Arabidopsis thaliana: one gene and its partners. The protein of the gene in region 3 interacts with the protein of the main gene of each other region in a pairwise test. Each region holds a gene or a part of one and is shown on either strand. Other genes may lie near its edges.

The links.
Region 1: the proteins of PRA1.A1 (region 3) and NTL9 interact in a two-hybrid assay, tested with the Arabidopsis thaliana proteins (one large-scale study listed by BioGRID).
Region 2: the proteins of PRA1.A1 (region 3) and AT4G31430 interact in a two-hybrid assay, tested with the Arabidopsis thaliana proteins (one large-scale study listed by BioGRID).
Region 4: the proteins of PRA1.A1 (region 3) and AT3G29270 interact in a two-hybrid assay, tested with the Arabidopsis thaliana proteins (one large-scale study listed by BioGRID).

What each region holds. Positions count from the first base shown.
Region 1 is NC_003075.7:16,887,905-16,895,754, reverse strand, and holds NTL9 (NAC transcription factor-like 9), read left to right. Parts: upstream 1-4,953; 5' UTR 4,954-5,010; coding exon 5,011-5,176; intron 5,177-5,294; coding exon 5,295-5,803; intron 5,804-5,879; coding exon 5,880-6,227; intron 6,228-6,379; coding exon 6,380-6,655; intron 6,656-6,749; coding exon 6,750-6,869; intron 6,870-7,035; coding exon 7,036-7,221; 3' UTR 7,222-7,350; downstream 7,351-7,850. Other genes in the region: RKD5 (RWP-RK domain-containing protein), read right to left, coding at 890-1,111, 1,196-1,422, 1,566-1,831, 2,264-2,492, 2,594-2,748, 2,833-2,846; HMGB5 (high mobility group B5), read left to right, coding at 7,571-7,617, 7,700-7,786. UniProt on the Arabidopsis thaliana protein: Transcriptional activator activated by proteolytic cleavage through regulated intramembrane proteolysis (RIP). Calmodulin-regulated transcriptional repressor. Binds several synthetic promoters with randomly selected binding sites.
Region 2 is NC_003075.7:15,244,608-15,254,220, reverse strand, and holds AT4G31430 (flocculation protein), read right to left. Parts: upstream 5,845-9,613; 5' UTR 5,712-5,844; coding exon 5,441-5,711; intron 5,107-5,440; coding exon 5,054-5,106; intron 4,905-5,053; coding exon 4,816-4,904; intron 4,653-4,815; coding exon 4,546-4,652; intron 4,467-4,545; coding exon 4,375-4,466; intron 3,941-4,374; coding exon 3,770-3,940; intron 3,513-3,769; coding exon 3,323-3,512; intron 3,229-3,322; coding exon 3,164-3,228; intron 3,061-3,163; coding exon 3,006-3,060; intron 2,916-3,005; coding exon 2,837-2,915; intron 2,727-2,836; coding exon 2,647-2,726; intron 2,567-2,646; coding exon 2,428-2,566; intron 2,351-2,427; coding exon 2,017-2,350; 3' UTR 1,662-2,016; downstream 1-1,661. Other genes in the region: AT4G31440 (transcriptional regulator of RNA polII, SAGA, subunit), read right to left, coding at 1-490; AT4G31420 (Zinc finger protein 622), read left to right, coding at 6,458-6,562, 6,833-7,399, 7,491-7,660, 7,763-7,981, 8,078-8,234; AT4G31410 (E3 ubiquitin-protein ligase, putative (DUF1644)), read right to left, coding at 8,747-8,783, 9,073-9,613.
Region 3 is NC_003076.8:397,307-404,754, reverse strand, and holds PRA1.A1 (prenylated RAB acceptor 1.A1), read right to left. Parts: upstream 3,857-7,448; 5' UTR 3,593-3,856; coding exon 3,435-3,592; intron 3,229-3,434; coding exon 3,188-3,228; intron 3,095-3,187; coding exon 3,016-3,094; intron 2,919-3,015; coding exon 2,832-2,918; intron 2,751-2,831; coding exon 2,662-2,750; intron 2,574-2,661; coding exon 2,502-2,573; intron 2,388-2,501; coding exon 2,284-2,387; 3' UTR 2,278-2,283; intron 2,200-2,277; 3' UTR 1,765-2,199; downstream 1-1,764. Other genes in the region: AT5G02050 (Mitochondrial glycoprotein family protein), read left to right, coding at 511-795, 904-1,262, 1,357-1,516; RPL (POX (plant homeobox) family protein), read right to left, coding at 5,883-6,428, 6,766-6,826, 7,181-7,448. UniProt on the Arabidopsis thaliana protein: May be involved in both secretory and endocytic intracellular trafficking in the endosomal/prevacuolar compartments.
Region 4 is NC_003074.8:11,230,977-11,238,662, reverse strand, and holds AT3G29270 (RING/U-box superfamily protein), read right to left. Parts: upstream 4,491-7,686; 5' UTR 4,323-4,490; exon of another isoform or gene 3,426-4,322; 5' UTR 3,338-3,425; coding exon 2,546-3,337; 3' UTR 2,205-2,545; downstream 1-2,204. Other genes in the region: emb2076 (Pentatricopeptide repeat (PPR) superfamily protein), read right to left, coding at 1-242; AT3G29280 (uncharacterized protein), read left to right, coding at 716-719, 800-958, 1,261-1,334, 1,428-1,507, 1,621-1,799, 1,891-1,958.

The DNA of each region.
Region 1 (7,850 bases), on a different chromosome or scaffold from region 3:
TCCAATGGCAAAATTAGAATATATTTTTCTTTATATGAATGCGTAAGAGAAAAAAATTTCTTCACTTTGTCAGAGATGTTCGTAAGTTGGCCTTTTTTCAAAACATCATACTTTTCATTTTTAAATGATCATATAATATATAGATCTTTTTTTGTTTGGTCAAATATATATATATAGGCCTTTTAGATCAGAAAATAAAGTATTGTTATTTCTTTTTTAATATTAAAACAAAAAAAATGATCTTCACCAAAAAATAACAAAAAAAATTTTTGATCAAAAACACTGAAAATGACTTCAAAATGATACTTGACCACGTACAAAATGCCAGTTGCATGGAAAATGAAACAAAGAAAAACATTTTCTCATTTTCGTAAATATTGACGTAGGATCACACACACACGTATACACACTTGTAGACTTCGAACTTCTTTGTACGATACACGTTAATTGATGGTCTTCGTCGTGTGGACAGAGTCGTCGTAGATTTTCAAAGCACGAGCTGGGACCACTCAAGAACACACATAACCAATAGCCTTAAACAAAACTGGTCATCACACTTTTGAAAGTTTTTCTTGACTATGGATGGGTTAATTTGGATCAGTTCCTAAACCATGATTTGGGTTTGATCTTTCACCATTATATAAAGAAATTCGATCTTAATTGCTACCTAATTGCACTAAGAAAAAATAAAAGATTCAATTCTGATATCCGACCACAAAAAATCATGATACAAGAGTTCCTCTCTTCTTGGAACTTCTTATACCAAAAACAAACATGGCTTAGCATCATCTGTTAGACTTGTAACTAACATTTCTAAATACCAAAACGCTTCACAGAAACCCCTAACTAACTAATATATCCGATGTTACTGTTAAAGGACCTAAAGTCTTTAAGTGGAAGAGGAAGTGACAAGAGATTCTTGATTCTTCTTGGCTCTAGAAGCCCTGTGTCTTTTCTTGAAGTTTTCTTGTCTGAATTTTTTGGTTTCTATCCCTATCTCCATGAATGGTCTCTTCACTATATTTCTCTTCTCTGTCTCCAGTTTCTCCTGTTTCTTAGCTACCGCCATTGCTGCTGCTTCATTCTTTTCCTGCTGCTTCTCTGCTTCCCTCTAATCAATACCAAAACAAATCAATGCTTCTTTCAGTGAATTGATGTATTAGGATTGATAAAGAGAGAGAGAGAGAGAGAAGACCTGAAGATCGTGGATGAGACAGTCGAGAGATTTGATCTTCCTATGAGGCCACCGTGGAATCCCAAACTCTCTGCATTTCTTTTTCAAAACAGTGAGACCGACCTTGAGATTCCGAGAAGCTTCCACGATAGTGAGGTCAAAGTATTTTGAAAGCTCTTCTAAGGATAGTTCAGCAACATGTCTCGATGGTGTCCTCTTCTTCTTCTTCAAAATCTCAGTCTTAGCATCTGTGTTTTTACAATAACCCGAAATTAATCACCAAAATGCTTAAAACTGGACCTTGTACCAAAAAAAAGAGAGCTTAAAACTGGCCTAGAGTTATATATTATCTGGAAGGCAAGTCTATTGACATTTGAAGAAAGAGATTTACCTGATTCCGACTGTTCAGTTTTATCGTTTTCAAATTCCGAATGTTCGGTTTTTTCGTTTACAGATTCCTCGGATTCGGTTTCTGAATCAGGAAGGCAGTTAAGATCTTGTTTCAGAACGAGCTTTCGTGGTTTAGGCAGATCAGAGTTATAATATCCCTCTGTACTGCTACTGCATTGTTCTTCTTCATAAATCTTTGATGGTTTTAACTCGGAGATAAACTTGAGCTCGTTGGCTAAATTAGGGATGTCCTCCAGTTTGGGATTTCTATCAATAAAAAGAGCAAAAACATGTTTGGTTGCTAAAAATGCTCACAACTCAAGTAACACTACAATGTGCTTTTTTTTTAGTAAAATGTTAAGTTTTAGAACATCTATGAATTTCTTTTACCGAATACAGAGATAACAGAAGATCGAATTCTATGCAACACTACAATGTGTTATTGTTACAAGCCTATTTGTTCACAATTAGGTAATCTTAACTCATTCACTTTACATAGTCCATTGCTATTTTTGTGCCATTGTTGTCAAAATTTGACAGTCTTGGAGTCAATAAGACAGTAACACTATATAATCTACAATTCGATTCAAGAGACCTAATTCTAAAAAAAATCAATCTGTTATGTGAAAAATATAACAGCACCAAAAATTTTTAAAACAAAAACGTTCCGAATAATGAATGAGTCAAAACTGGCGTTACCTGGAAAGACAGAGAAGAGTAGGAAACCGAGGAAGCGAGTGATTAAACCGGAACACAAAGATACAACGCCACGTGCCAAAAACCGACCCTTCCGAGATCTCCGGTCGCCGGAAATCTTCCGAACGAAACAGAGGCTTCGCTTTCTTCTCTACATAACAGCTTTTGCTCTTGAACCAGAACTCTCTCTCAATCTCCACCGATTCATAGACATGCAAACTCCTCACCATCTCTGCATTAACAAAACCCATAGAAACAAAATAAAAACCATTTTTCAATCCGACCCGAGTCATTCCGACCCGATTCGAGATTCTAGTCAGAGTTTTGACTTACCTTTGCGGATGACGCTCTGGAAAACGGCGAGTGAGGTTAAGGAATGTGCCATGTCCGAAGAAGACCAAGAGTCGCAAAAGCAGAAGCCCAAGATTTTAACATAAAAAAGTTTTATTAATATATTTTTCTTTTTTTCCTTTTTTAGTGTGAAAAATCTGCAGAAGAATCCAAGGTTTTATGTACTTGAAGCGTTTGTCATTAAGTGAAAAGGCTCCAAGAAAAGTAGGTTAAAATTTTACCCTTGGTCCACCATCGAAATTACCAAAAAGGCAGAATATTCCGGAACGCACGTGTAGGCAAGCGGAGCGTGCGAGGGTAGTTATGTAAAATTAACAGTGGGAAGCGGGTTGCACCGAACCAAGCCCATGTAGCTAAACACTCACACGCGCGACGCATGTCTGAAAAGTGGTAATTGAATTTTGTTTAGAATGATTCTACAGAGGTTGAATTTGGTAAATGAATCAGAGGAATATTAAGCATTTGAGCATAATTTCCAATTTGGTCAGATTATGATATATGTAAATATGTCCATGATTCATTTTCTGTTTTTGGGTTCTCTTTGTTCATTTATTAAGTCATGGGCTGAAGTTTTCATATTTTAAGTCATGGGCTGAGTTCTCAAGGACTAAAACTGGTATTGATATTATGATCTGTTAAAAGCCAATTCATTTAAGGTGTTCAAAATCTAAACTGAATAATTGCGTTAAATTAAGCCGGACATGTTTCAATCAAAAGTCAATAGAATGTGTCAAAATACTCTGGGTACTTGGGTAGTATTAGTAACATTAACTTACAAGGATTTTTCTCTATATAAAAATACAGAGTACTAGTTTTGATTTTATCTGAGTGAGAACTTTCTAATAAAACTCTAATCGAAAACAATTAATATTTTGTATAAAATGGAGTGTAGAACCTAAATATTTTGTATTGCTTGGATATATAGTTTTTTTTCTTCTTAACATGGATATATAAGTTCTATTTCGTACATATTTCCCCTAATTTTAATGTTGAATTTTGGAAAACTTTTGTTGGATAGTGACATGAAGACCCTAATTTTAATCATAACATTTTGGAAAACTTGATTGGGTGAGTGATATGGAGGTGATGTTAACGTATGTTTGGTATCAATAGTTGGTCCAATTAGGCCCAAAGAGTCAAAAAAGGTGCCCAAGTGTTGTCAAAAGAGAAAACAATTAAGAATAGGGCAAAGCTTGGCCAGCAAGATTTAGTGGTCATTTCCTAGAAACGTGTCCAAGAATTTATAAAGATGGGTTGTCTTATAAATACATATCGTTCACGTAATTACCTGAGATCAAATCTTAATCATATCATTCATCGTATATAGACTCCAAACACGTTTTTCAAACTCCTATGATCATGTGTTCTCTCTTTGCCTCCGTCTTTGATTGCTTTGTTCCAAAATCAGACTCAAAGATTAGCTCAACTGATGAGAGTGACTTGAAAGTCCTGTCCTCAAAGAAACCAAAAAGCAAATCCCCGAGAGCTCCGATTATGGTGTCTTACTTTCCCGCCGGTTCAAACCTTTCGCGTCTATAAGTGCCAAATAGAAGAGAAGAGAAGATGAAGTATTGGGATGTTGATTTTGATATAAACGAAAGAAGTTTTTGGTTGTAGACATGTTGTATGCGCAGGCTTTAATTTTATGTTTTATTTAATTATGTACAAATAGACCATTTAGATTGATAGCATCATATATATGCTTTGTATTTAAGACCAAATAAAAGATTAATGTTTATATACATGCGTAAAAATGTTAAGAGCTTAGTTAGTATCATTTTCAAAAACTGATTGTCACTTGAGCTTTTATTTTTCTTATTTTTTTAATTAAGAAAAGTTGTGGCCCTCAAAAAGTTACATGGAATCGGAACAGGAAAAAAAAAATGTCGAAAACTGATTAATCTAGGCAACGTTATCGCATTTTCATATCTTACAAATCCCTTTTTCAATTCAGATTTGGTAGAAATGCAAGGAGAGTTCCATAGTGTATATGTAAAATTTGTATAAAACGTCTAGAAGAATTACAATGCTGAATTTGTTGGAAGCTCTGTTTTTCTCTGCTTAGACGTTTCCAACGTGTTTTGGGTTTCTCTGATCACTGTAAAGCCTAAACCACAAGAGAAGAAAAACCACGAAGCTTTGGGCTTTAAGGCCTTTTTGGGCCCTAGCCACAATAATGGAAGCCTATCAAGAAAAGACAAGACAAGACAATAAGACAGAAGAGGACAAGTGTTTAAAGTGGAAGTTATCTTTCTCACGTGGTCTAAAGAAAGGTTAAAAAAAAAGAGGGAAAAAAAAAAGAAGATGAGAGAAAGCAAAGTGTTGAAGACTTTTTAGAAAGCAGAAAAAAAAGCAGAGAGTGTATTCAAAGTCGGAAAGAAACCCTAAAGAAGAGGATTATGGGTGCTGTATCGATGGAGTCGCTTCCTTTAGGTTTCAGATTCAGACCTACCGATGAAGAGCTCGTCAATCACTACCTCCGTCTCAAGATCAACGGACGTCACTCCGATGTCCGTGTCATCCCTGATATCGATGTCTGCAAATGGGAACCTTGGGATCTTCCTGGTTCGTCTCTTTATTCTCTCAAAATTTGATTCCTTTTATTCTCAGATTCTGTTTTCCCTCTCAAAGATTCCACCTTTTTTTTCTTTACTCAATTGGAAACAAATCTGATTGTCGGCAGCTCTCTCGGTGATTAAGACGGATGATCCAGAGTGGTTCTTTTTCTGCCCTCGTGATCGGAAATACCCTAATGGTCATCGCTCTAACAGAGCAACTGACTCTGGCTATTGGAAAGCTACTGGTAAAGATCGTAGCATCAAGTCTAAGAAGACTTTAATCGGTATGAAGAAGACTCTTGTCTTCTATCGTGGACGAGCTCCTAAAGGTGAGCGGACTAATTGGATTATGCACGAGTATCGTCCCACTCTTAAGGATCTTGATGGCACTTCCCCTGGCCAAAGCCCTTACGTTCTTTGTCGCCTCTTCCACAAGCCTGATGATCGGGTTAATGGTGTCAAGTCCGATGAAGCAGCTTTTACGGCCAGCAACAAATACTCACCTGATGATACATCATCTGATCTTGTTCAAGAAACACCTTCCTCTGATGCTGCTGTTGAGAAACCATCAGATTATTCAGGTGGATGCGGTTATGCTCATAGTAATAGTACCGCAGATGGGACAATGATTGAGGTATGAATGGAAACTCTTGAATAATTAATTAGGCTTTTTTGAGTGACTTGACTAATTTTGAGTTTTGTGTTCATAGGCACCTGAAGAGAATCTTTGGTTATCTTGTGACCTTGAAGATCAAAAGGCACCACTACCGTGTATGGATTCTATATATGCTGGTGATTTCAGTTACGATGAGATTGGATTCCAATTTCAAGATGGTACCAGCGAACCAGATGTATCACTAACAGAATTGTTGGAGGAGGTGTTCAATAACCCTGATGACTTCTCTTGCGAGGAATCGATCAGTCGAGAGAATCCAGCAGTCTCACCAAATGGGATATTTTCATCTGCTAAAATGCTGCAGTCTGCAGCACCAGAGGATGCTTTCTTCAACGACTTCATGGCTTTCACTGATACAGATGCTGAGATGGCGCAATTGCAGGTGAGCACAAAGATACATATTTTGAGGCCTATACAATTTTAGAAGTATCCAAATTATTTTGCTTTAAGTAGGCTAGAAACCTCTAGATCAGTTATCTTTACAATCACTCTTGACATAAGTAAAATGACAATTTTTATCTTTTGTTTGATCAGTATGGTTCAGAAGGTGGAGCTTCTGGTTGGCCAAGTGACACTAATTCATACTATAGTGATTTGGTTCAGCAAGAGCAAATGATCAATCATAACACAGAGAACAACCTCACAGAAGGGAGAGGGATAAAGATCCGGGCTCGACAGCCTCAGAACCGGCAGAGTACAGGATTGATAAACCAGGGTATTGCTCCAAGGAGAATCCGTCTGCAGCTGCAGTCTAACTCTGAAGTAAAAGAACGAGAGGAGGTGAATGAAGGACACACTGTTATTCCCGAGGTACGAGACTAGTGATTCCAAAAGTTGTGTCTTAGACATCAATAACATAAAGGATGCATCTTTTTAATTTGTTGTTAATGGTGGGGATGTGCAGGCCAAAGAAGCTGCAGCTAAATACTCAGAGAAGAGTGGTTCTTTGGTTAAACCTCAAATAAAGCTCAGGGCGCGGGGAACTATAGGCCAAGTAAAAGGAGAGAGATTTGCAGACGACGAGGTAAGAATGAGTGAACTTGTTTACACATGAATGAAGAAAGAGTATAGTAGTAAGCTCTACTAAATACTATAGAATTAGAAAGAAAAAAAAGAGAAAGCAATCAGTAGAGCATGTGAGATCAGCTAGTAATGATAAAAGAAACTGAGAAGTATCTTTGTCTAAAGAGAAGTTTGTTGTGGTTACAGGTACAGGTGCAGAGCAGAAAGAGACGAGGAGGGAAGCGATGGAAGGTGGTTGCAACGGTAATGGTGGCTGTGATGGTTGGGGTAGGGATGGGTATATGGAGGACACTGGTGAGTTCATGACACATGAGACACAAAGAGAGAGAGAGAGAGAATCAAATGTAGTTTAATGTAATTAGGGATGATGCAATGTTAGCATGTTTGTGTGTTGTAACTTAAAAACTTATTTAGGAATCTGATAAAAGTTACTGTTGAATTTACACGGATGGTCAAGATTAAATGTACCAACATCTTAATTATCTACGGTCAAGATTAAAAATACCAACATCTTAAATTAACACCGCATCAAAGAATTATCTCAATCGTCGTCTCTCCCCAATTCAAAAAAAGAAATAACCTAAACGTGTTCACACAGAGGTAAGCTCGCTCCTACTCGCCGCCTCATCTGAGTCAACTCCGAGTCAGCTATTTTTCCCCACCGGATTCTCACTTTTGTTCCTCTCTGTGACAGATCTCGAGATGAAAGATAACCAAACGGAAGTTGAATCGAGGAGCACTGATGATAGGTATCTTTATATTTATCCGTAATCTCGATTCTTAGATTCAATTTGTTTCCGTAGTTTTGAAATCGTCTTTTATGATTCTCAGATTGAAAGTTAGAGGGAACAAAGTTGGAAAGAAAACAAAGGATCCAAACAGGCCTAAGAAACCACCAAGTCCTTTCTTCGTCTTCCTGTAAATAAAAATCACTAATCTCTCTTCTTCTTTTTTCTTCACTAATTTGATTACAGTAATTAAT
Region 2 (9,613 bases), on a different chromosome or scaffold from region 3:
CATCAGGATATCGACCAGGTCTTGAATAAGCAAAAGGACCCAAAACCTTTCCGTTTGACCCTAGCGGACAAGGCTTATCTCTGATTGTCCTGTCGTCACATGTTCCAGGCCTAACCTTGGCTAACACCCCATTGGACAAAGCAAGATCATTCCTAATATGGTCAGGGTTTAGAGATCTGCTTTCTTCAGGTCCATCTTCTTTCCCAAGCACCAAAGATTTGCCAGGGTGACCGGATTGGTGAACTGATGGTGGGGACTTAGCCAGAGATGCATTTCTCAAGATGGAACGAATCAACTTATTGTGAAGAGAAAGATTCTCTCTCCCCAAAAGACGGAAACATGACTTATCAAACTCACTCTTAGTAAGCTTCTGACTCAGAAACCTGCCCAAGTAGTAAAAATACCTTGTAGATCTTTCAACCCCAACCTTCTTCACTATATGCACTTTTAGCTCAGCTAGATCAATCCTGGGATCTTGAAGACGTTGCATACTTCTTTCTGGCTTCTTCTTCTAAACCGAAACTAAGTGAAACAGTCAGAGGAGTGCACAAAATGCACCCTCTCAGCTTCTAGTTATCCTTCACACAAACAAACCCAACTCATCAACGTATTTATTCTCAAACTCAAATCCAGAAGCATTTCAAGAACTCAGCTGAAGCTTTTTAGTACAGGCCACTCCAATCTCATCTCCCCAAAAACCCAAACCCTAGAGATCATTATCTACTAGCCAGCTTTGAAATTCAACCTCGGCTGTTTCAGAATCAGAGTATATTACAAACCCTAGCTTGGAATTAGCAAATCAATCCATCAAGAAGGAAGAATCAATCCAACTAACCGTTTCTCCAAGTTCACGAGCGAGTAAGAAGACGAAACTGAATCAGAGCAGAAAAACCCCGCATTTTTTGTTTCACGCCCAATTCGGAAGCTAAGAACTTTGAGAATTCCCGAAATTTGAGTTGGAGCAAATCGAGATCAGTTGAGTTGAACAAATGATTGGAGCTTTGAGAACAGAGCAACAGATTCGAATTGCCTAAAGAATGATGAAATTCGAATTGAAGAAGGAGGAAGCGGGCAATGAGAAGCGGGACCCAAGCTTGTAAGCAGAAGAACAAGTGTTGGAAGATTTGACCAGAAAGAATTCAGACAAAAGAAAAATCGGAACAAAACAAGTAACTTCCGAGTTCCGACACCAACCCAATGATTTCTCGGCTTCTTAATAATACACTTCTGCTTCGATTGAATCTTCGTGGCTTCTTCTTTCGTATGGCTTTTCAGATTTGAATGTCTGAGCGCTTTCGCTCTTCTGTGTTTATTTTAGCTTCGATCGCTGCTTATTGGGTTTTTGTTGTTCGTTTTTCTTCACTTTTGTTTCTGTCTGTTTTGTTTTTTCTCTCTCTCTTTCTGTCTGTCTTGATAAAATTGGTTATTGGGTTTCTTCTTTTCGCTCGTTATTGCTTTTGTACTTTGGTAAGAGATTGTGTAACACTAGATTGAACCCATTTGATTATATTCATCTTACAATGTTTTGATCTGAGTGATCTCATCTAATATTGGATCATGTCAGAATTTGTTTACTTGACACTTTACGAGGTTAAAAGATGAGTGGTGTTAGTACTTGAGATTTCCCCCAAAAAAATTAGGTGTTGGCTTTTTGGTCAAGTAAAAAAGATTTAAAAATTTGGCATCGAACAAAAGAAAAAGAGTTTCAACATATGGAAACTGCAAACTACAAAGCTTCGTCAGCTGGAACGAAACCAAGCTTCAAACTTACAACATTAAACATTAGAGATTTCAGACAAATGAAAGAAACAACAGAGACACAATTCCACATAACTCGACAAGACAAATCCTCCTAACTCAAATACTACAAGATAACCTAAAAAGATAACGAAGTGACCAAAGACCAAACACAAACAGAGTGGGATTCAAATCTAAAAGAGATGTCACATAATCCTACCTCATCATAATACTCTCCTACTGCATTGTGTTTGTTGTGTACAGCTCATCTTACAAAGTTTATTTGGCCCGTCCTTTGCCTCGACCTCCTCTGCCTCTTCCTCTACCTCGGCCTCTTCCTCTTCTGCTGTATGCCAAGACCTTGGTATTTCCCGGGCTGCTACTTGCTGAGTTTGAGTTAGGTAGAGACTGGTCTCCTGGGAGCCACTCTTCTTCATGGGTGCTTGAACTGTTAGAGGCACTTGAGTGGCTGTCATTGCTTTCGTTATTAATTGCACCATCTGAGCCATTCCCTACTGTCATATCATCACCATGAATTTCAGCTATAGGCTGAGAAGCCTTGGTTTCTTCTGGTGGTGTGGGTTTTGGTTGACCTTCCATAACCGCTGGTGAACTGAAAAAGTAAGGCTTTGCTTAGGAGGAAATAATGTCATCATGTCAAACTAGCCAGACAAAGGAGTTGCTTTTCACCTAGGTGATGAAGATGGGAAACCGTTAGAAGTATGACGTGATGCGCCTATTTCATCAGCTTCTTTTGATGTTTCAAACACATCTTTAGGGATGCAAGAGTTCCCAGTAGGATCCAAAGTTGCCCCAAGAGCCAAGACAGCTGCATCAATAGGAGCGCAAGTAAATTAAGAGAACCCAACTAAAAATCAGAACCAAAGGAATTCAACATCCAATGTATACCATTTGTGGTGTTTCCGATAGTAGAAGTAGGTTGGATAAAATCGCCATCTTGATCATTGAAGTCATCTACAGCAGTTCCACTGTCGCATACAGTTGAAAAACTTCAGAAGATTGATATACTAAAAAACATATCTGTCAAAAAGAAACAAGGTACAATCTGTGTTGGAAGGATAAGCACAATAAAAAGAACCTTTGAGGAGCGGTATTCGTATCTTCAGATGGCTTGACTCCTTGTGTGGAGATAAATGTCTCCTCCAAACCAACTCCACCTAATCAGAACACATTAAATCCATGAGACAGAGTATAAAAAGCGAAGATGAGAGAGTGTATACAAATTAAGGATTAAGGGAGAAACTAACGAGATCTAGTGTGTAAAACTCCTGTTTCTTTGACGGCTTGATTAGCTTCCGTAGTCTTCACTCAAGTAAAACACACAAGGACACCAAAACAAGAAAGATTGGAACTGCAAGTTTTTTCTTGGTAATGAGAGACACATAGTGTAAAGAGTGCTTGATACCTGATTGTGCTCAGAGGTAGGTATGGCTGAATTTGGTAGAGCTCTGCTTTGTTCATTCCGTACAGCTGAAAGAACAGAAAAGAAGAGTTAATTTCAGTTTCAACTCATGTCTTACTGAAAAACTTCTTCCACGTGTGAATAAAGAAAGAAAAAAAACACCTCCATCAGCATTCAAAGACGAAGCATTTCCTTTGAGCATATCAGTCGCTAAAACATAGGGGCTGTATTTAGGTTCCAAAGAGGCTACACTACTGGGACTTTTAAGCATTTCCTCGGTTGCTTTAGCTCTGACTTTGCGAATTTCATCTTGAATATTCCATGACTGATTAGAACCGGACTTCCTTTTCAGCTGCATTTGGTAACCAATGTCAGAATGAATAAGGGTAAATTTGAGAGAGCCATTGAAAATACATATAACGGTATGCAACTTTTCTTTAGGAATAGCTGGAAATAGTGTCCCACAAATTCCTCGTGGTTATCTAACATAAACAATAGAAGTTAAGCAGAGAATTTTATCTCATAAACCAAGATGAAACGACTTCAGACTTTCAAACAACATTTGACCAAAAGAAAAGTATGCACTGCTGGAGAACTTAAAATTCTAACCTTGGATGAGGAAAAGTTTCCAGCGCTATAAGGAAGGGGTGTCCCTTGCACTCTTGCTGATGATGGTGATCGAAAATCTAAATTATTCGCAGCTGGAGATCCCCATGGCAGACGAGCTCGCATATAAGACTTGGCCACGTCCACAGGCGATCCAGCACCATCTTCAGTTGCCTGGAGATTTAAACTAATGGCTGAGATGGTGATCATCATTTAAAGTACAATGGAAAAAGAATACTGTGAAGCGAAGCTATCAGAAGTTGACCAAAATCATGTAAGTAAATGGTCTTCATAGTCAAAAGAAGAGCAACAATATGGATCTTTTGCATTTTAAGCGGACAAAAAGGTATTTCCCAATCAGGACATTTCAGAATTAACGTCACCAGATGGCCACACGCAGAATTCTGAACAACCTACTTTTGCAAGAGAGCTTTAAGTTGCTGATCACATGGATTGGCATATAACAATCAAATCATTTTACCCAAACAGAAGATGTCTCCTTCTATAATAATAATGGCTTAGAGCACGGAGACAAGATATCACAAAAAAGTTGATACCTGCAGGCTGCAGCAATTAGAACAGTTAAGAAGCAAGTTTCCAGAACTTACTTTATACTTTGAACTTGATCCTGATTTCTTCTCCTCCAACCATTTTCTTGCTTCCATGACAGCTGTATTGGACATTTCACCCACATTCACGTCTAGAAATAAAATAGAAAAGAAGACGTTATCACATAGACTAATCCGGTCTACTTGCACAGTCTACCATCAGTAACATACCGCTTGTCAATCCATAGTCATCATGACTCGTCTCAATAGCAGAGGGGACGCTGGGATGATCTACAACCCTAGCCTTGATGATATCTATTAACCTATCACCCTCTTCCCTGAAACAACATACACATGAATGAATAAGCAGGATACAAGATCAGCTTAGATTTGGTAACTACACACGTCTCAGAAAGATTCTTTAAGCTATGAGGTGTAAATAATAAGAATAGTCGAGGAGGCTGCTACTTATGATGTCCAAAAAGCCAGGCAGAGAAATACCTTGCAAATGTTTCTTGCAAGAGAAGCTGCTCAATTACACGCTTAGAACTGAGTCGTTGAATGCTTGGTTGCTGGGCACTCAGAAGGTCCTATTCACACAAGCACAAAAACTGAAATTATGCTTTTATAAAAAAAACTCTCAGTTGAAAACGTGTTAGCTTCACGAACTTTACTTCAAACAATTATCATAGGACTACAGTGGCATAGCAATCACCAAAACGAACAAGGTGGTTAGTACCTCTTCAGTAAAATCGGGATTGTTCTTCTCAACATCCTCATCACCATCAATATCTGCAAACAAAGAAGAAAACATATAAAAATCCATACATTAAAAGAATAAGACACAACAAAGCTGGTTGGTATTCTCAATCCCAGAACTACATTATATGAATAAAAATTAGAGCTTTAGAATTAGTATGAAGTTTATAGCTTAGAAGTAACCTAACTAAATAGAGTACAACAATGCTTAACTGCTCTTAAGTCCCACATATTAAAGGAAAGAGAAAATGGGAAAGCTTTAAGTCAAACTTCACATTTCAAACGAAACGGTAGCTTTCAGATTCGACCAGACAATAAACCAAAAATTCAAATTAATCCTATCTAAACTGAAATAAATGGTACAAACCTGAAGATGAATCCTCGTCCTCCTCCGAAGATGAGGAAGAGTCGGAGAAGACGACGGAAGAAATGAATTTTCCGGCGCCGGAAGCAATTACGCTGGCGGGTTTGTAAACGAGCCTGGAGATCCAACTAGGGTTTTGCTGAGGAGGATCTCGGGATCTCTGAACGGGGCGCTCACACGGCGTCCTGACAACAGCGGTGCGTCGTGGTCGAACAATTTTCCCACCGACTCGAGGCTGACCTGCTCCGGCGGCGTAACCGGAGACGGAATCCATGGTGAAAGTGAGAGGAGGAGGGAGAAGTTCGTTGTAGGAAATAATGAAAGTGTTGAGGAAAAATTGGTAATTTCTCGTTATTTGTCGTCTTCTTGTTTTTTTTTTTAATTGGGGGTGAATAGTTAGTTTCCTAAATTACAGGCCTGCGGTTAAAATTTCTTCCACTAATAAAATTAGGCAAAAACAAAACATTGCGATTAAAAAAAATTAATCGTAGTAAAATCATGTATTATATTCTTCTCTTTTCATATTTTGAACATATCACATGATGTTTAGATCTTATAAATGCAGTAATTTAATAGAGAGATTAGAATTTGGAAGAAAAAAAAGTTACATGATTAAACGAAGTAATTAATCAAGTTGTAAGTAGTTATTTTAAAAACAATATTAGAAAAATGTTTTTTGGTTACTCATACAGTAATACTTAATTCGTCAACTGTGTCAGTGTTACAAAAAGGCTAAAAGAATGGGCCAAATGGGCTACTCTTGTATCGGGTCAGGAACGGGTCAGTTCCAACCCGATCGGATCTAAAATGGGCGGGGCGCCTTCCTTTTCATTTTGATGGCAATCAATCATCATCAATCGACGCTTTTTTAGAGACAAACACGATCGCCGATCCATTTACGAGCCGTCGTTGCTCTACACATATCAACAACAAATCTTATCCTCCCAACTATCTTTTCTCTGATTTTCTTTTCTTCTCCAGTTTCCATTTCTAGAATCGATCGATATTGAAGGAGAGAAGATGCCTGGTTTAACATGTAACGCGTGTAACATGGAGTTCAAGGACGAAGAAGAACGTAACCTTCATTACAAATCCGATTGGCACCGCTACAATCTCAAGCGCAAGGTTTCATTTCTTCTGCTTTCTCTATCGAATTTGAACTCAAGCCTATCTGTTTCTCGGGAAAATCTTGCGTCGGTGATGAGATGAAAGTTTCTGAGAAACAGCTTTTCCATTTTGCTATCGAAATTGTTTAGTTAAGGTTATGGAATCGTAGAGTTTATATGAAAATTTGTTTTGAAGCTTATTCTACTAAGGAACAAGGATTTCAATAATCATAGATTTGGTTACTTCTAGGCATTTGAATCTTTGTATTTCTGTAATTTTTTATGTTAGGTGGCTGGAGTTCCTGGAGTTACAGAAGCCTTGTTTGAGGCTAGACAATCTGCTCTTGCTCAGGAGAAGAATAAATCAAATGAAGCACCTATGCTTTATACTTGTGCAATCTGTGCTAAAGGTTACAGGAGTTCCAAGGCTCATGAGCAGCATCTTCAGTCGCGTAGCCATGTTTTGCGGGTTTCACAAGGGACATCAATCAACGGAGAGGAGGATATAGCGATTATCAGGCAACTTCCTCGCCGTGTTCAACACAGGGGTTCCATTGATGATGATAGTGAAGATGAATGGGTGGAGGTTGATTCTGACGAGGAATTGGCTGCTGAAGAAGCCTCTGATTCTTTGTCTAAGTTGAATGTGAATGAGTCTGGATCTGCTGAAGATATGGATGATGATGGTGATGCAGATAAGTATGAGCTGGATCCAACCTGCTGTTTGATGTGTGACAAAAAACATAAGACCTTAGAGAGCTGTATGCTTCACATGCATAAGCATCATGGTTTCTTTATTCCCGATATTGAGTATCTCAAGGATCCTGAAGGGCTTCTCACTTACCTTGGTCTTAAGGTTTGGACTCATCAATTTACCATTCAGTGTTCGTTGTTGTCAAGCTTTGAAATTCTTACTCCTGTTTACTTATACATTGCTCATCATTTAGGTCAAGAGAGACTTCATGTGTCTGTACTGCAATGAGCTGTGCCGTCCATTCAGCAGCTTAGAAGCTGTAAGAAAACATATGGAAGCAAAGAGTCATTGCAAACTGCATTATGGTGATGGTGATGATGAAGAAGATGCTGAGCTAGAAGAGTTTTATGACTACAGCAGCAGGTTTCAACTCTCTTCTATCTCTGATTATTCTTGTTCTCGCCTGTATTCCTCGTTCTATGCCAAATCTTAATCCGCACCTTTCTTTGGAATATATGAATTGAGCAGCTATGTTGATGAAGCTGGAAAGCAAATTGTTGTATCTGGTGAAACAGACAATACTGTAGAACTCGTTGGTGGTTCTGAGCTCTTGATCACGGAGAAGTCCGAGAACACAACAACGTCTAAAACTCTCGGGTCCCGTGAATTCATGCGTTACTACAGACAGAAGCCACGCCCAACTTCTCAAGACAGCAACCAGATAATTGCCTCTTTATCTTCAAGGTTTGTTTTCTCCAAACCCGTTAATCATCCGAGTCTATCCAATCAGATAATCGGCAAGGTAAACTAAGGTTATTCCAACAAATGGTAAATTCTCAGGTACAAGAGCCTGGGTCTGAAGACAGTACCGTCGAAAGAGGAGACTTTGAGGATGAAAGTGCGCAAGGAGATGAGCAAGAGAGGCGAGACAATGCGTACCAAGATCGGAGTGAAGAGTAATGTCATAAGAAACTTGCCCAATAACGTCCCATATTAGTTTCTGTGTATGTGCCACTTGTTCTCAAGTGTTGGATTGTATGATGATTTCATGTACTTTTGAGTCTTTGACCAAGTTGTGTTGCTACTTGGTAATAAGAGTAAGCTTTAAAAAGAGTATGTTCACTGAAATAGAAATGTTAAAAATTAATACACGAACGTTGACTTCTGATTTACTCTCAATATCTACATTGTCCAGAGATGCATGTAAAACAAAGAAGAGACAACGACAAAAGGGTACTACAATATCCCAAAAAGGCTTTTTGTTTAGTTTTTGTACAAAGGCTGCGACTGCTGCGAGTAATGTCACAAGACAAACCTAAAATAAAATTTATGTGTAGAAACAAAAAGAAAAAGAAGAAAGAGGTCCAAAACCAAGAACACTGGCTACAAATAGGCTGGTCTGCATCATTTGCTTCGCTTCATTTTCCAGCTGACTGAGAAAGAACGAAAAGGAACATTACAGATTCACAAGAAGACAGTACCAAAAGCATAGAAACAGAAGGTTAATACCTAATTTTCATAGAAGCGGGTTCGACGCCTTCTTGAACTGTAAATCAGAGAAAACAAGGCATCAAGCAATGTCTCTTAAGTAACCATCATATATAGCACAAGAAAGCTACTAAACCAGGTCAACACCCCAAGCTATTATGCCAGAAATATCACACAATGGGGCCTGATTAGCTAATTTGTCATTCAAGAGGTGCCTAAAAACCAGGCTCACTGGTAAGCCTTTAATATCAATGCAGAATAATTATAAACTATGAAAGTAAGAATGTATATCTCTGCAGACAGCAACAATACAAAATTAGTGGTGTAAAGCTATAGATTATTCTGACCTTTGGTGCATAGAGCTACTTCTGTTAGCTCCACTTGTGCTGATGAACTCGTCATCGATCTCATCTACTCTATACTCCGGAAACTCTATGGATGCTACTGAGCTGTCATCAGAGTTGGAATTCTCATAGCTAGAGCGGCGACTCCCTCTCCTACTCTCACTCATTCTTGATCTTCTTCGATTCCTGGCATTCCTTATATTGTCAAACATTTGATAGAGAATACAAGATGTCCACCAGTTTCCTTCATTGTTGGGAACATCCTCAAATTCATCTCCTGTGTCATCATCTCCATATTCGATCACATAGTCCCCTAAAACCACTCCTCTTGGAACTTCTGAGTGAATTGTGCTCAACACGTCGATTATTTCAGACGACTGCTGGAAATTCTCCCAGTCAAGCTTCCGTGCTGGATCAATTTCTGAAGGACGAGAATCCGGATGCTCTGACTGAGCATGTTTGCGAAGCTCCAAGTAAGTACCCATAAACCTGCATCGTTCTTCCTCACAGCAACGTTTTTTCTCATCAAGACGAAGACGAGCTT
Region 3 (7,448 bases):
CAAACCCAAATCTCAAAAGTTGACTTATGATCATAAATCGTACGGAATTGGGTAATTAAGAGCATCGCCACCAGAAAACCAACATTAAAAATGACAACTTTTTTGAGCTATATGAATTTAAAAACAAGTATCTACCACAAATTTAATTCTGCTTTTTTGGAGGAACAATTATGTTTCCCTTAACTTCAAGCCAACGATATTAAAATTGAAGTTGGAAGAAACAGTGACGCAATTCTGACGCCGGCAAGAGCTATTTTGTTCTTCTCTCCTTTTGCCTTTAAGGACGTGTCCACACACAGACATTCCTCTCTCACTGTACGAATGACCAATTCCTTTTAATATATGGGCTTCTTATGGCCCATTAAGTAATTGGGCCTTATTAAATGGCTTTTTATCTCCTACATAATGCTTTGCACTATAAACAAACCTTAAACCTCTCTTCTTCTCTCAGTAAAACCCTCATTTCTGTTTCTCTTTTCACTTTTAAGGAAAACCCTAGAATCCTCAGAAATGGCGTTGAGCACCGTGTTTCGTCGAGCTTCGTCAACAGTAGCCAATCTTGCTTTCCGTGCGGGTAGATCTCCGGTTAGCTTCCGCAGTGGCGCTGTCTCCGTCGAGAGGCTGATTCGTGGTAGCCACCAGATCAGGCGTGGATCGGTTAGTTCATTCTCAGTCTCGAGCTTTTCGACGGAAAGTGCGATCTCTAAAACAACCGCCGACGAGAATCTTGTTAGCGTTATCGAATCTGAAATCGAATGCGCCGTCGCAGAGGAGGCTCCTCATGACACTGACTTCGTAAGTTCTCTCTTTCAATATACATGATTCTTCTCGAATTCATGAGATTTTAATATTTCTGGGGTTTAGAACAATTGTATCTGAATTAGAAATGTTTTGGAAAAACAGTTGGAAGATAAGCCAGAAGGGTTTCCATTTGAAATCATTGATAATTCAGGGGAGAGAACTGTGTTGCTGACAAGGAAATTTGAGGATGAAACCATCCAAGTGGAAGTTGACTCTGTTGCTTCTTATGATGATGAAGATGAAGAAGAGGAAGCAGAACCAAACAATGAAGAAGACGATGAAGATCAAGAGAGCTCGGGTAAAGTCCGGGTTCCGATGGTTGTTAGTGTGCAGAAAGGTGATGGTGTGTGTCTTGAGTTTGGAGTCAGCGCATACCCGGATGAGATTGTGATTGATAGTTTATCGATCAAACAACCGCAAGGATCTGATAATGACCTTGCTTACGAAGGACCTGACTTTGAGTAAGTTTACTTCAATGATAGTGAGTTCTTGTTTGGAATATATGAGATTGGGGTATTGTTATGTGATTGAATTTGGTTATTGTGTTATGTGCAGTGACTTGGATGAGAATTTGCAGAAGGCTTTCCACAGGTACTTGGAGATCAGAGGTATTAAACCAAGCTTCACTACCTTTCTGGCAGATTATGTGGCCAACAAAGATAGCAGAGAGTATCTTCAATGGCTCAAGGATCTCAAGTCTTTTGTCGAGAAGTGAAACTGAACTTTGTTCAGAGAATAAGAGCGAGATTTCTTTTTGCTTTAAACTTTTGAGTTTATCTTAGATGAACTTGATATCACCATGAGCAATCGTTGAAAGTGAGGTCATGTGTTATGCTTGTTAACAATATTGCTACATGTTTTTAATGGGTTTTTAGGTACTTTGCTAGATATAAGATGCAACTCTTTCGAGTGTCAGTTGGAAAAAATGTTACGACCTCAATAAAGTATAATTCTTTTGCATTTTCCCATTGCCTATTCTTATCCGAAAACTCTCGGCTAAGTAGTCAAATCATTTGTTTATTTTCCATTTCTTGTTATCTCATTATTATTGTTACTAGACCTCTCAACCCAAAAAAAGAAAGAAAAAAATGCAAGCTATTAAACGATTCTAGGACTTTACACAAAGGGTTTTGTGTTAGAACGAAGAACAACAAAGCTAGCTTTACAAGTCTTTAGCAAAAAAAAGAGAGGATTTTGCTAGCAAAAAGAGCTCAGAGCTCAAATCTCAAATCAAAGAAAAAACAGATGATCCCAGTCATTGAGCAACAAATCCAGATTGAACATCCATAGTACAGTGTTAACGAAACCGGGTTTATCTTGGAGAAAGGCAGTAAGTTTGGTCTTTACAGCGTTATGTCCTCAGCAGAACACGATCATGGTGGTACAAGCTGCCAAAGACTGTCAACATTTCAGAAAATCTAACCATCCAGTTAAGCAAATAGATGTTAGACTAAGAAGAAGATATTTCAAACTTACATTACTCTAAATCTCGCTGTAGTTACGCCATACTGCTCGGAATTCCTCCCTAAATGTGTTAAAACGTGCCTTCAAGTTCGGTGTTCTCAAGCTTGCATGAAGAATTGTTGCTGTAACACAAATTACAAAAAGAGGTTGAGTTTATAAAAGCCTATATGTGGATTTTTGAAGTAGAGTGAGAGAAACTAAGTTATGACTTATGAGGATTTGTGTAGACTGCATACCAAGATGTGCAATGAGTAGCGCAACCGAGACTCTGAGCAAACCAGAGGAAATATACCAAAGAGCAAAACTCACTGCGAAACAAAAAAAAAACTCCAAATCATGTTTTTTACGGTTTTTGGAGATATATTACATCAAATGAAAATATACAAAGCCACATACCAAGTGAGCATGTCAAGACAAAAACCCAACGGGGTTGACCACATACATGGATTGCTCTCTTTGATGATGGACGCCCACGAGTGACAGGTCTAAAAAACACAGATAACATAGATGATAATAAGCAAGGAGTAACAAAGAGTATGAAAGGCAACAAAGAGAGATAAACATACGTCAAAGGAGGTCTCATTTTAGCAGCTAACTGTGGAGAGAATCTTCTGACGGTTCGTGTCGCCTTCTCACTAAAAGAACCTGCAAAGCTGTAGACAAGAATACTCAATATGGATCTACTGATTCAAGCATATCCACTAGTCAAAGCTCTGAGAGTTTAAAAACAAAAGGAAGATGAAGAAAAACCTGTCATTTAGAAATGCCAAACTTAATGCTGTCAAAAGCGCAGCGAAGATCGCTAAAGGCCTTGTAAGGACTCCCAATCCTGAGAAGTAAAATTTGACAATTCTAAGTGAACAAGACATCATTGATAAACAACACAGATGATAATGCTTAGCCACTTCCTCACACCACATACCAAGTATAACGACGATCATGATGAAATAGTTTGTTCGGTAGCTGCATAAACAGATCATCATCACAGGTCAAAATTAAGCTCAATACAGAAACTAAGCTATCAAGACTCTGTGTTCTAACCAAAGTCTAAGAATTCTATGTTCAATTGGGACGAATTTGATTGGTAATTCTCAACGAGAGATTGATCACAACATCAGATCCGAATAGATATGAAATTGGCGAACAAGAAAGAGAGAGAGAGATCGTACTAGTAGAGATTGCACTTGAGGCGACTATCCCATTTAGGGACAGATTTAGGAACGGTGAACCTTGAGAAGAACTCAGACGGAGGACGCGGCGGAGACGACCAGTCAACTTCTCGGAGAGCATCGAAGAGATCATCAACCGTTACGTTTCCCCAATCCATAATCTCCGATCACAAAAACACAACACTTCTGATTCCACAATCCTTAGTTAACCTTATAAGAAAACAGGTACACAAATTCTCAATAGAATCGATCGATTGAGATCAAATTATCAAAGCTTCGTCGAAGAGAGAAACAGCGATTTCGTGCTTATATCGGAAAACTTGAAAAGTCTATAATGCTTTTTCTTTGCATTGGGGAAAGAGGAAGGAGAGAATCATCCTTCTTTTTGTCAAATGACGTTTCTGCCCTTTAGTCTGGTTTTCGTTAACCAAAGGGGTCCTGGACCAGATTTTATGTAATCCGGTTTTCGAATCTTTTAATCTAAACTTTGGTTTTCGTTGTATAAATTCCAAAACAAAACGCATCTAAACCGATCTAGATTGGAACGAAAGTCTGGGACTATGATTTGTAAAACGATTAATCATCTAAAAGTTTTAAAAGGAGGATCTCAAGCTCTAGATATAGGTAGGGGACAGGGAAAACAAAATATTACTGGCATAAAATCATATTTTAGACTATATGTATCAAATCATATCCCACTTCGAATGACTAGACCAAATTATGATTGATGGATATATTCTTCACTAAGATAACTAACCTGTTTCAAATGGATTTAATTCGATGCTTCTTCTTTCTCCAAAACCGTTAAAGCTAAGTGTTTTCTTGAGTAAGGAAGAGGTAAACTGTATCCCGAGGATTAAAAACTATACATTCGCATATGTATATGCTTAATTGGTTTTAAACCTCAGGATGCAGATTACCCGTTCATCATCAAGTACCTTCATCTTCTTCTTCGTGTTGTTGTTGTTTTATGTTAATGGTGAGAATATATATAGAGCTGGTGAAGCTTATAAAAATAGTAATGGTGCAAAAGAATTATACTTATTCCGAAGGTTTAATGCTTCTGGAACAAATACTCACACAGAAAGACAATATCTTTAGTTGTCCATGGTTTCTTATATGTTCTCATATTTATCTCTAGACTCTAGTTCAGCATATAGATAGACCAATATAAAAATATATGATATAACATGTACGGTTGACGTGGCTAGTGTCTAAGGTTGCCACTATATGTATTCATGAATAATTCAAGAACAAATCGAATAGTATCTCTATTGTTTTTAGAAATTTAACTAAAATTTTTACATGAAACGTGTGGAGAGTGTTTTTCCGCATCCACATAAAGGAGACGGATTGTGAGAGATCAAATCATGAGAAATTGATTCTTTGTAGTTTGTTCTTTAGGAGCCAATGATGGCACCTTCTTAAATTTATTTTTTACTTTGTACCTTTTTAATATACAAATAGTTTTTTGAAAAAATTATTTGACTGCTTTTATATTCTTCTCTCGGCTCATTACATGAACCTCTTCTCAATTATTGAATTTCATATAATTCAAAACATATTTGCTAATACAGTTTATGTTTACATCTTATTCTATATAGACATAATCCAAGAATATAAACAAAAATGGTGTAAACAAACAAAAAGGCTGAGAAATGGTTAGGATCGGAGAATAAATTCTACAAAGAAAAAGATTTACTTTTTTCCCATGAGAGGGAAAGGTTATGTATATATATATATATATATATATATATATATCTTTCTTGTTTTCCAAAAGCAAATGGAAAGTTATTTGAAGCAACAAAAGCACAATTTTATTTTCAATACTTTTGCTCTCATGTGATCTTCAAAAGCCAACGTATTAGTACACACTGAACATTAAACCGAACTCATTTGTTTTGTGTGTTTGAAATCGGCTCAAACTTCTTTTATGAGTAGAAGAATTCAACAATGTTGAGCGGATCGGAGTCAAAACTGCATCCGACTCAAAAAGATAACTCAAATAGTCTGAAATATTTCAAGGTTTAGGGTTTGAAAACATGTTGTTTAGTCAATGTTTACTATCAAGTAAAACAAGATAGTTCAAAATATAATATCAACGATCAATGATAAACATCTTAATCGCGTTCTTCAACGATAATTGTGACATACATAAAAAAAAAAAAAGCACCATGTTTTGAATCATGCCAAAATATTAAAACAATGATAGATGCCTTTTATATTTCACCAAGACATAGACAACTCTAAAGTCTAACCCATGTTTTTAACATTGGTTATTGAATCCAATTTCATTTCTTAAAAAGATAACATTTGTGAAAGTAAGCAAACAACAAAAAAAGAAGAAGAAACATTCTAATATACACATCATATGCATTTCAATTCCCCCATATCTTCTTATACATACCCAAACGTCAAACATATTTTTTCCTTTCCACACAAATAATCTCAACCTACAAAATCATGTAGAAACTGATGATTACTACCACCAATAAAATCTCTCCCAAACTGACGATTTTGCCCTTCATACCCACCACCACCATCGCCACTACCACCATCAAGCCCAAACCTCTGAGCAGTTGTCATCGGAAAAGGCTCCGGTAACCCAATCTGATGATGAAGCCCTAACGTCAAAGACACTCCTCCGTTTGTGCTGCTATTCATCACCGGCACATTCGACGACCCAATTCCATACGAGAAACCAACCGCACTACCGCCGCCGCTCCCACTGTTTACATAGCTGTTGTTGTTGTTTGTGCCATGAACGTCGTCGTTTCGTGCCCGTCTAGGCGGAGATGAGTTGTTAGGTCTTTGCTGTGCCGAGGACGAAGATGGGTTGTTGTTGCTGTTGTCAGGGAAGACGGTGGTGCTAGTACGTTCGTCTCTCCAAGAGGAAGAAGAAGATCTCTGAGATTGTCGAGTCTCCAGCATGTGAATCTCTTCCACCATCGGCTTCCAAACCCTAACTCTTGCGTTTATGAACCAATTCGATACCTAAAATAACATTTTACCATAATAAATTAATAACCCTCAAGCGATAGAAAATCCCTAAATTATTCATTATCACCAACGGATAAATTTTCAAAAACAAAAGTGTAACACTTATTCAAACCTAATAAACCAAATTATAACATAGTTACTATACTAATGATATATGTGAAAAGATTTAAAACATATAATTATTGTCCGACAACAGAAACTCATTTCATAAAAGCATATATTTATCTATGTGACTATGTGCATGCTTAATTAGCAAGAAATTTGTTAAATTGTGAACAAGAAAAGATGGAAAGAGAAAAAAGAAGAAGACTGAAGATATCAGAAGTGAAACCTGATTTCTGGAGAGACCTGTCTGCTTAGCCAGCATGAGTTTGTCTGTATCTGTTGGATAACTGCAACAAAAGACACAGACAACAACAATTTAATATATCATTGTATATACTAACATACACATATATATAGACACATAATTACGCTTGCAACACGACATCTCCAAGTTTGGGAAACAAACAAGCAGTCGACATGTCCCATCTAAAACATACTTCCAAGTAAAAATACACTTCGATACACACATATTTATTCACACTGACACACACATATAAAGCTATTGTTCACAAGCATATATATACAATTTGGTTCATGATCAATTAAACGTTTGCATTTAGTTTAATCAATTGTTGGAACCAAGTTCAAACTCGAATCCAACAACTTTCAAAAGCATTTATATGGCGAGAAGGGTTACTTACGGATGCAAGAAATGATCGAAGAGCCAAGCCCTTAGAACAGTAACAGCACGTTCGGGTAGGCCACGGTGCGGTCTCCAAACAGGAGCATGATGATCAGGAAATCCATGTCTTTGACCAGCAGAACATAAGCCTCTAGAACTATCACTTCCTCCAAATCTTAAAGAATCAGTCTTATTCTCAGAGTTCATCGGATGACCACATTGTTGTTGTTGTTGGATCTTGTTGTTGTGGCTGAATTGAAGCTGGTCCGTTATAGCATTCTTCAAAC
Region 4 (7,686 bases), on a different chromosome or scaffold from region 3:
TTTTCACCGTTGAAAGAACTGTCTAATTCACTACTCACCTTCCTGAAACACATGTTTGGTGTTGCCAAAGAAAAAGACTCCATTTTTACACCTAGACGCCTTCGTTTAGGCTTCATGGTCAATGTAAAGTTCAATGAGTGACTCAAAGACCAATGAAAAGTTCTCAAAACACAAGAGCTCTGCTCAATTAAATAACATCCACAAACCAATTGAGAGACATGACTCAACCAGACAGCTCCCATGATAATACAGTGAAGAGCTAAACGCAGCAATCTCTAACACCTCCAATTTCAACACCGAGCAGAGAGAACTTGATCTTTTAGCATAATTCAGACGAAATCTGAGAAACCATTTCCTATTCAACAAAAAGTTGACAACTTTAGTAATACCCACTTCAAGTCTAAGCAAACAACCCCTAAATTTCCTTAAACAAAGAACATAAGCTACGTAAGAACCAGTACCTAAGACACGAAACCAAGCCAAAGCTCTGTTCTTTTCGCAGAAATGATGAATCAAAGCTTGTTCTGTGGCTGAGGAAGGAGAAGAAGATACATCAGAGACAGAGAGTAAACGACGTAGTTTTAAGCTTTGAAAAGAGAAACGACGTCGCTTAAGGATCTTAAAACGTTCTCGATTTTAAGTAGTTGAAAACACCCTAAAGCCGAACACTTTGGTAGTGAATTAAAGAATCGATTTCTCTCTCTCTCAAGCAACAATGGGTAAAAGTTTCTGGCTTTATTTCGAAACTGTTTCTTTTTTGTTGAATGATGTTGTTGTAAAGGAATTGGTGTAATTGCAGATGAAGGAAGAGAAGGAGAGATAGAGAAGAAGAAGAAGAAAGATGAAGAAGGAGAAGTGAAGGAAGGAGTAGCATCAATAGCTTTGTTACCATGTGGGACTATCTCTGGTCATTTCATTCAGATGCCTAGCTCTATCTGTTATGGCCTCCATGGCACTGGTAACTTCAAATCTCTTCTTACTAGGGCAAACCAAAAAAATGTGGTCTTTTCTCTTTGTTGAGTTTGATTCTGTTTTGCAATTAGATGTTTTGTGTTCTTGCTTGGATTTGATAGAAATGTTTGGTTCTCAAGCATGTAAATGATTCAGATTAAAGACTTAATCTTGCACTAGTTACATCTATTGATACTGGAATGATTGATAAAGATCCAATGGCTTAGTTACTGTGGCAATTTTGACATGACATTGCTTGATTTCACTGCAATTTGTTGTATTATTGATGTTGCTTTTCTCTGTTTAAAGAACTAGCTTGTGAGACTGAGTGTAGCCGCGGTGAGGATTATCGGTTGATCAAACTCACTATCATAGACTACAATGTATGATTTTCTCACTTCCTTTTGTGATTCTTAACTCTTAATTTCCAAAACCATGATATTGAGTTTGTTCCTTGGTTTCTTTTGGTGAAAAAGAGAAAGAAGGAACAAACAGTTGTAGTGGAGTGCAAAGGCCATGATGCTGCTCGAATTAATGATGTCGAGCATGCTCACGGGTAAGTTGTCCTTGTTCTCGTATCTGTTATGCTCTTAGCTTTTCGGAGAAAACATTCGAATGAGTTGAATTTGAAAACCTTTTTGTGAGAGTCTTTTACTGTCCTATGTTTAGTGAATATGACTACTTGTCTTTGGAAAGGTGGGAGGAAGATGTGATAGGATTAGTCGAAGAAAAACACGGGAAGAAGAAAGTATCGGTTTCGTTCGAGTGTGAGACATTGAAGGCAGATGAAGCAGCAGAGGACCATATCAGACAGTTTATGCCCAAATTAGCTGGACTTGATGCTGTTAGTAAGTAAAACCAACACTTTATTCTTGTGCCATTCTCATTACATTTATGTTGTCTTGTTTTGTTGAATCAACACACCGGGGTTTTTGCCAGTTAACATTGGACCGATGAAGATTTCCGGGCTTGATTTTGCTGCGGTGGAAGAGGGACACATAAACTAAGACAGCTTAACTCTTTCTTTTTGTGTATACATCATATTTGAATGCTCTTTGAGTCTTTGTTTCATATCGTAGAACACAATTAACGCTTTAAGCTCAAATGATCTAGACTAGAACTCATAGAAAACATAAAAGAGAAATAACCGAACCGAAACCAAACCGAAAAGCCGTACACCCACCCCTAATTTTGGGTGTCATCTTTTGCTTTCTTCTATGGAAATGGGTGGAACAAACAAACAAAAGAAAAAAAAACCCATACAATTTAGTCATTATATATAAGAAAAATCAATGCATTTAGTTACGCAATTCCTAAATAACATTGCATAAACTTTATATACATAAATCTTATTGAGACACTCAAACACTCACAAACAAATCCACAAATACTAATAAGTTTCTGCAAGAGCCCTTACAACACATACGTCCAGCTTCGTAGAGCAACAATGCAATCCAAAACTACATCCATATATAGATAAAGAAGACGGTAATTACGAAATTGTTATACTTACATGACCGATCTTGGGTCTCAGTTGTTGAAGAAAAGTCGTCAAATTAGGAATGGGAAGTTTCTGAACGCATCCTTAGAAAGTTCATGTGACAATCTCTCGAACAAGCCAGTCGAGACAAGGATAAGCGAAGTAGAGGATGAGAAACGACGGTAGAGCCAGCAAGAGAGTGACTAGAATGTACATCGCCAATATGGCTGCACTGGTCGGTATTGCATAGAGTATTATCAGCAGAAATATGACAACTAATGGGAACTTTGCTGTCAACTGGACAAAGAAAACCAGAGACTTCCTCAGTGAAGTTTGTATGTTGTCCCTTGGAATGCGATGATCATTAACAGAACGTGATGGTTCAGGTTGACTGCGATGATGGCGATTGTGGAGACATGGAGATGGAGTTTCCCTTGTATGATCATTGTTTCCATCTGTTTGAGCTCCACCAGGTGAGTTACGTCTCTCTCCATTCATCCTCTCGACCATCCAAAGCACAAAGTAGTTCTTGTGAGGGAATCTGAGTGTTCCTCTGAAGACCAGACGGAAAGACAAAAGGTTGCACCAGGGGCATGAAATGAAGAGAGGAAGCTGAACCGGGTGAGTAGGCAATTTCACAATAGCCCATTGAAGTCCCAAAATGCAGTTTTTACACATCGTATGTCCACACCATAACACATACGGAACGTTTTCAACTATATTAAATGATTCCCAGCATATAGGACACTCGAGACCTTCGTCTTTACTACCTACAGAAGATACATCGTCATCTGAACACTCCGCATGAGCATGGACCGGTCTTCTGATATCGTTTTTCGGTCCAATGTTTCCCGTAAGATAACTCGATGCTAGATTCCACATTCTAGTATCAGGGATGGATAACATGAATACCTTGTTTGTCACTAAGACCTAACCAGTTCTGCTAATACTTAACTCTCTGACCTTCATGAACACCGAACTCGATGCTTCATCGCTTCATAAGCAAAGAGAAAACACATATTAATCCTTCAAAGACAATCCCAACGACACACCGATGCAATTCCAACTAAGAATCAACTAATAAGATTAAGTGCTACATTGAGCAACCATGGTAACACAAATCATTAAGAACCTACTATACAGCAAGATTCAATTTTTATGATCAGAATCGATATTCGAACGCTTTAACTTGTATTAGAGCTCAAAGCTCGACAATTTCATCGATAAAGGGGACTCTTTTATCTTTGAGCCAAGTTTACTCACCGATGCAATTCTAACTAAGAATCAACTAAGATTAAGTGCTACATTGAGCAACCATGGCAACACAAATGATTAAGCAACTACTATATAGCAAGATTCAATTTTTATGATCAGAATCGATTATTCGAACGCTTTAACTTGTATTAGAGCTCAAAGCTCGATCATTTCAGCGATAAAGGGGACTCTTTTATCTTTGAGCTAAATTTACTCACAGATGCAATTCTATATCAGTAGCAACCAACTAATAAGACCAAGATTTAGTGATACATTAAGCAACCATAGCAACACAAATGATTAAGAAAACCCTAAATAGAAAGTTTCAATTTTTATACTCAGAATCGAAATCAGACTCTCAGACTTGTATTAGACCTAAAGCTCAATCATTTTCAGCAATAAAGATGATTCCTTTATCTCAAAGGTTATGACTTTATCCGATACAGAAGATCCCAATATAAGATTAAAGGAAGAAAGAGAAAACCCTAAAATCAAAATCACTAAATGAGATAATTGATCACAGAATTAAGCAGCTAACGAAGTAATCGAACCTAGATAGATAATTGAAAGGACAGAGCAATCAAATGGTTCACAATAACCGAAACTAAATCAGAGTGATTTAGATAAAGATTCGTACCGATTCGACTCTGCTCTGAGCTTTTTGTTTCGTACGTGAAAGAAGAAGATGCTTGATTCGATTTTTCCGGCGAGACCTAAACTTTCTGGGTTTTGTTTTGCTTTCATAAACGACGTCGTTTCAATCGTGTACCCAAGTTTTCCTTCCAAAAGTGTTTTTGATATTTTCTAACGTAAAAACTTGGTTAGTTGTTTTTTTATAAACATAATAACATTACCAACCAAAACATTTACGCTTATTGAAGATTAAGTAAACCTCTGAAAAAATAAAACACAGAGCGGTTAATTTTATTAATATAATTTAATAGAATTTTGTATTATAAGTTATTTATCAATTCAATTTTTTTAATATTTTAAAAAGAATAATAATAAATATATTAAAAAGAAGAAATATGAGAAAAAGAACAATCACGAAAGAAAAATAATAATAAAAGAAACTTTACGTTGTTTTTTTTTTATCTATATGAGTGTATATAGATAAAATGCAAATGGACTTAATATGTAAATATTTCTTTAATTTTTGCAACATTCTTCTCGTCCAGAGTTCATTTGTCATTTATCTCTTTGCGATATCTTTCATGTTGTCTCGTTAAAACTTTTCTAATAAAATCCATTGGTAGAAACCACAGTAAGGTAAAAAAGTATAATCATACAAGCTCTCCCTCGAATGACTATGGACATGGGGTGCAGGATGTTCGACATTTTTTCTTGTTACCATGTAATAATCATTGAATGCTTGAGACGTAAATTCACCAACGTTATCTAATCTAACTCCTTTGATTGGATAATCAGGAAACTCAGCTCTTAGTTTTGATTATCTGAGTTAGAAATCTCGCAAATACCACATTTCAAGATGATAACAAACAAACATGTGACCATCTACTAGACATGTCTATCATTACCATGAAATAATATAATGGTATACATGGTGGGTGTATAGGTTCACAAATGTCGCATTTGACTCGTTCAAGGAATTTTGGTAATTCTTTATCGATTTTGCTTGTCGATGGCCTTATAATCAATTTTCCAAGAGAAAACGTAACACATGTCCTTTTATTTTCTTGATAAAACTCTTAGGGTTTCATTGAATGTCCATGTGAGCTTTTTATAATTTTTTGCATCATCGTGGTGCCTGGGTGACCAAGGCGATCGTGCCACAATGTGAAATCATCATGATCTCTTTTGATAACAAGATGTGATCCTATTGAATTAATGTATGTATGATGCAATCCTGATGGGAGTCTTGGTAATTTTTCCAAAACGTGTCTTTTTCCCAATTTTTCAGAAGTGATATACATGTACTTTTTTTCATTCTCACTTGCACACTGAGTGTCATATCCATGAAGGTATATATCTTTGAAACTCAACAAATTTCTTTTTGAATTTGGTAAAAATAATGCATTATTTATCGAGAACTTTGTCCCGTTAAGTAATGCAAAATTTGTTTTACCGGTCCATTCAATTAAGTCTATGGGACCTGATATTGTGTTAACAATAACTTTTGTTGATTTCAAATGAGAGAATTTTTTTTTTTGTTTTAGAATAGTGTGTGTTGTTCCACTATTCGGTATGCAAATATCTCTAAGGTTTGCCTTGGATACCATTCCATTTGTAATGTGATCCATTTCTGAAATAAACATAATCGATTAAGGTAAGTAGAAAATAAATTTATTAATCAAGCATATAACACCCGATAATTATACATGATAGGTAACACAAGCACACAATAATTACACATGATAGGTAATACAAACACACAAACTTAGGAAATTTCAAGCAAGCGTCGATTTATTTATGACATATTAATTCGAGCCCCACACGATAGAAATTTCAGTTTTCCACAAGGACAACCTCATCGAGATCATTAGCAAAGTCAGAAGCATCAAGGTGGGTTGTACCCTCAGAATGTTCCGCAAGGTTCACTTCCTTTCCTTTTCCCTTAACAGATTTTTTGTACAGAGCACAAAGGTGTGCTGGAGTTCGGCATACCTGATACCGATGTGCCTTAGGGTCACATCTGAAACAAGCACTGTCACATTTTTGAAAAGTATTTGCTTGGATTTCTTTTCCTTTCGATTCATGCTCAGGACGAATCTTTTGGTATGACTTCCTGGTTTGTGGATTAAAGCCTCTTCCACGTCTGTGATAGCTTCGGCGCCCCGTCCCCAAAAAATTTTGTTTTCTCTAAGCGGATTTTTAACATCCAATGCATTAACCTCAGGGAATGCCTTTGATCCGGTAGGTCGGGACATGTGATTCTTGATTAGGAGCTCACTGTTTTTTTCAGCTATTAAGAGTGCCACAATCAAATTTGAGAATTTGGTATATCCACGCAACCTATATTGTTGTTGCAAAGTAATGTGGTTTTTGTGAAACGTGGTGTACGTTTTCTCAAGCATCTGAGATTTAGTGATAGTTTCACCACAATATCTCAGTTTGGCGACAATTCCCAACTTGGCAAAATTGTAGTTCATTACCTTGTCAAAGTCTTGAAACCTTAGACTTTGCCATTCGTCTCGGGCAAGTGGGAGAGTGATGTCCCTTTGGTGATCGAAACGATCTTTCAAATATTTCCGGAATTCTTTAGGATCTCTCATGTGTGCATAGTCATATATGACACTTTCATCCATTTGTCTTATAAGGAAGATCACCGATTTTGTCTTTTCTTGGGCCGTCGAAGAATTATTCTCCTTTATAGTCTCCGTTATCCCAAGGGACTCCAAATGTATCTCAACATTAGTAAAACTATGGTGAATAAAATATTAAATAAAATATGGTGATTAAAATCATCCATGTTAAAACTGTGAAGTAGAGTATTAAATGAAATATGGTGATAAAAATTATCCATAGAAACAATAAGGGGGGTGTATTGAAACTGTGATTTTCAAAAAATTTTGGTTTTATTACTGGTTTTGTCTATCCTTGCGAAAATCCGATATTTTGCTTCACAAGTTTCCAACTACTAGACTTGGGCATGAATACATACAAAATATGTTTGTTGAAGATCGCGATCATTTTCGACATTTGTATCGCATGTATCCAGAAGAATTCCTGAAATTATGCAGTATATTTTAAGTGAAGATGGGTTTAAGAGATACAATGAATGTTTCAGTTGAAGAAATGCTTGCTTCCTTTTTGTTCATCATTGGGCAAAATTTGAGGTATATCCAGGCTCAAGATAGATTCAAGAGGTCGAGATTCTCAATAAGTACGAGCTTTAATACAATTTTGAAGGTGTTAAATGTATTTGCACCAAGCTATATGGCTAAACCTACACTTGTAGTGCCCACGAAAATAAAAGACAACACAAGATTTTATCCTTATTTTAAGGTACGTGGTTATTTTTTTTGTGTTTATTTCTTTTA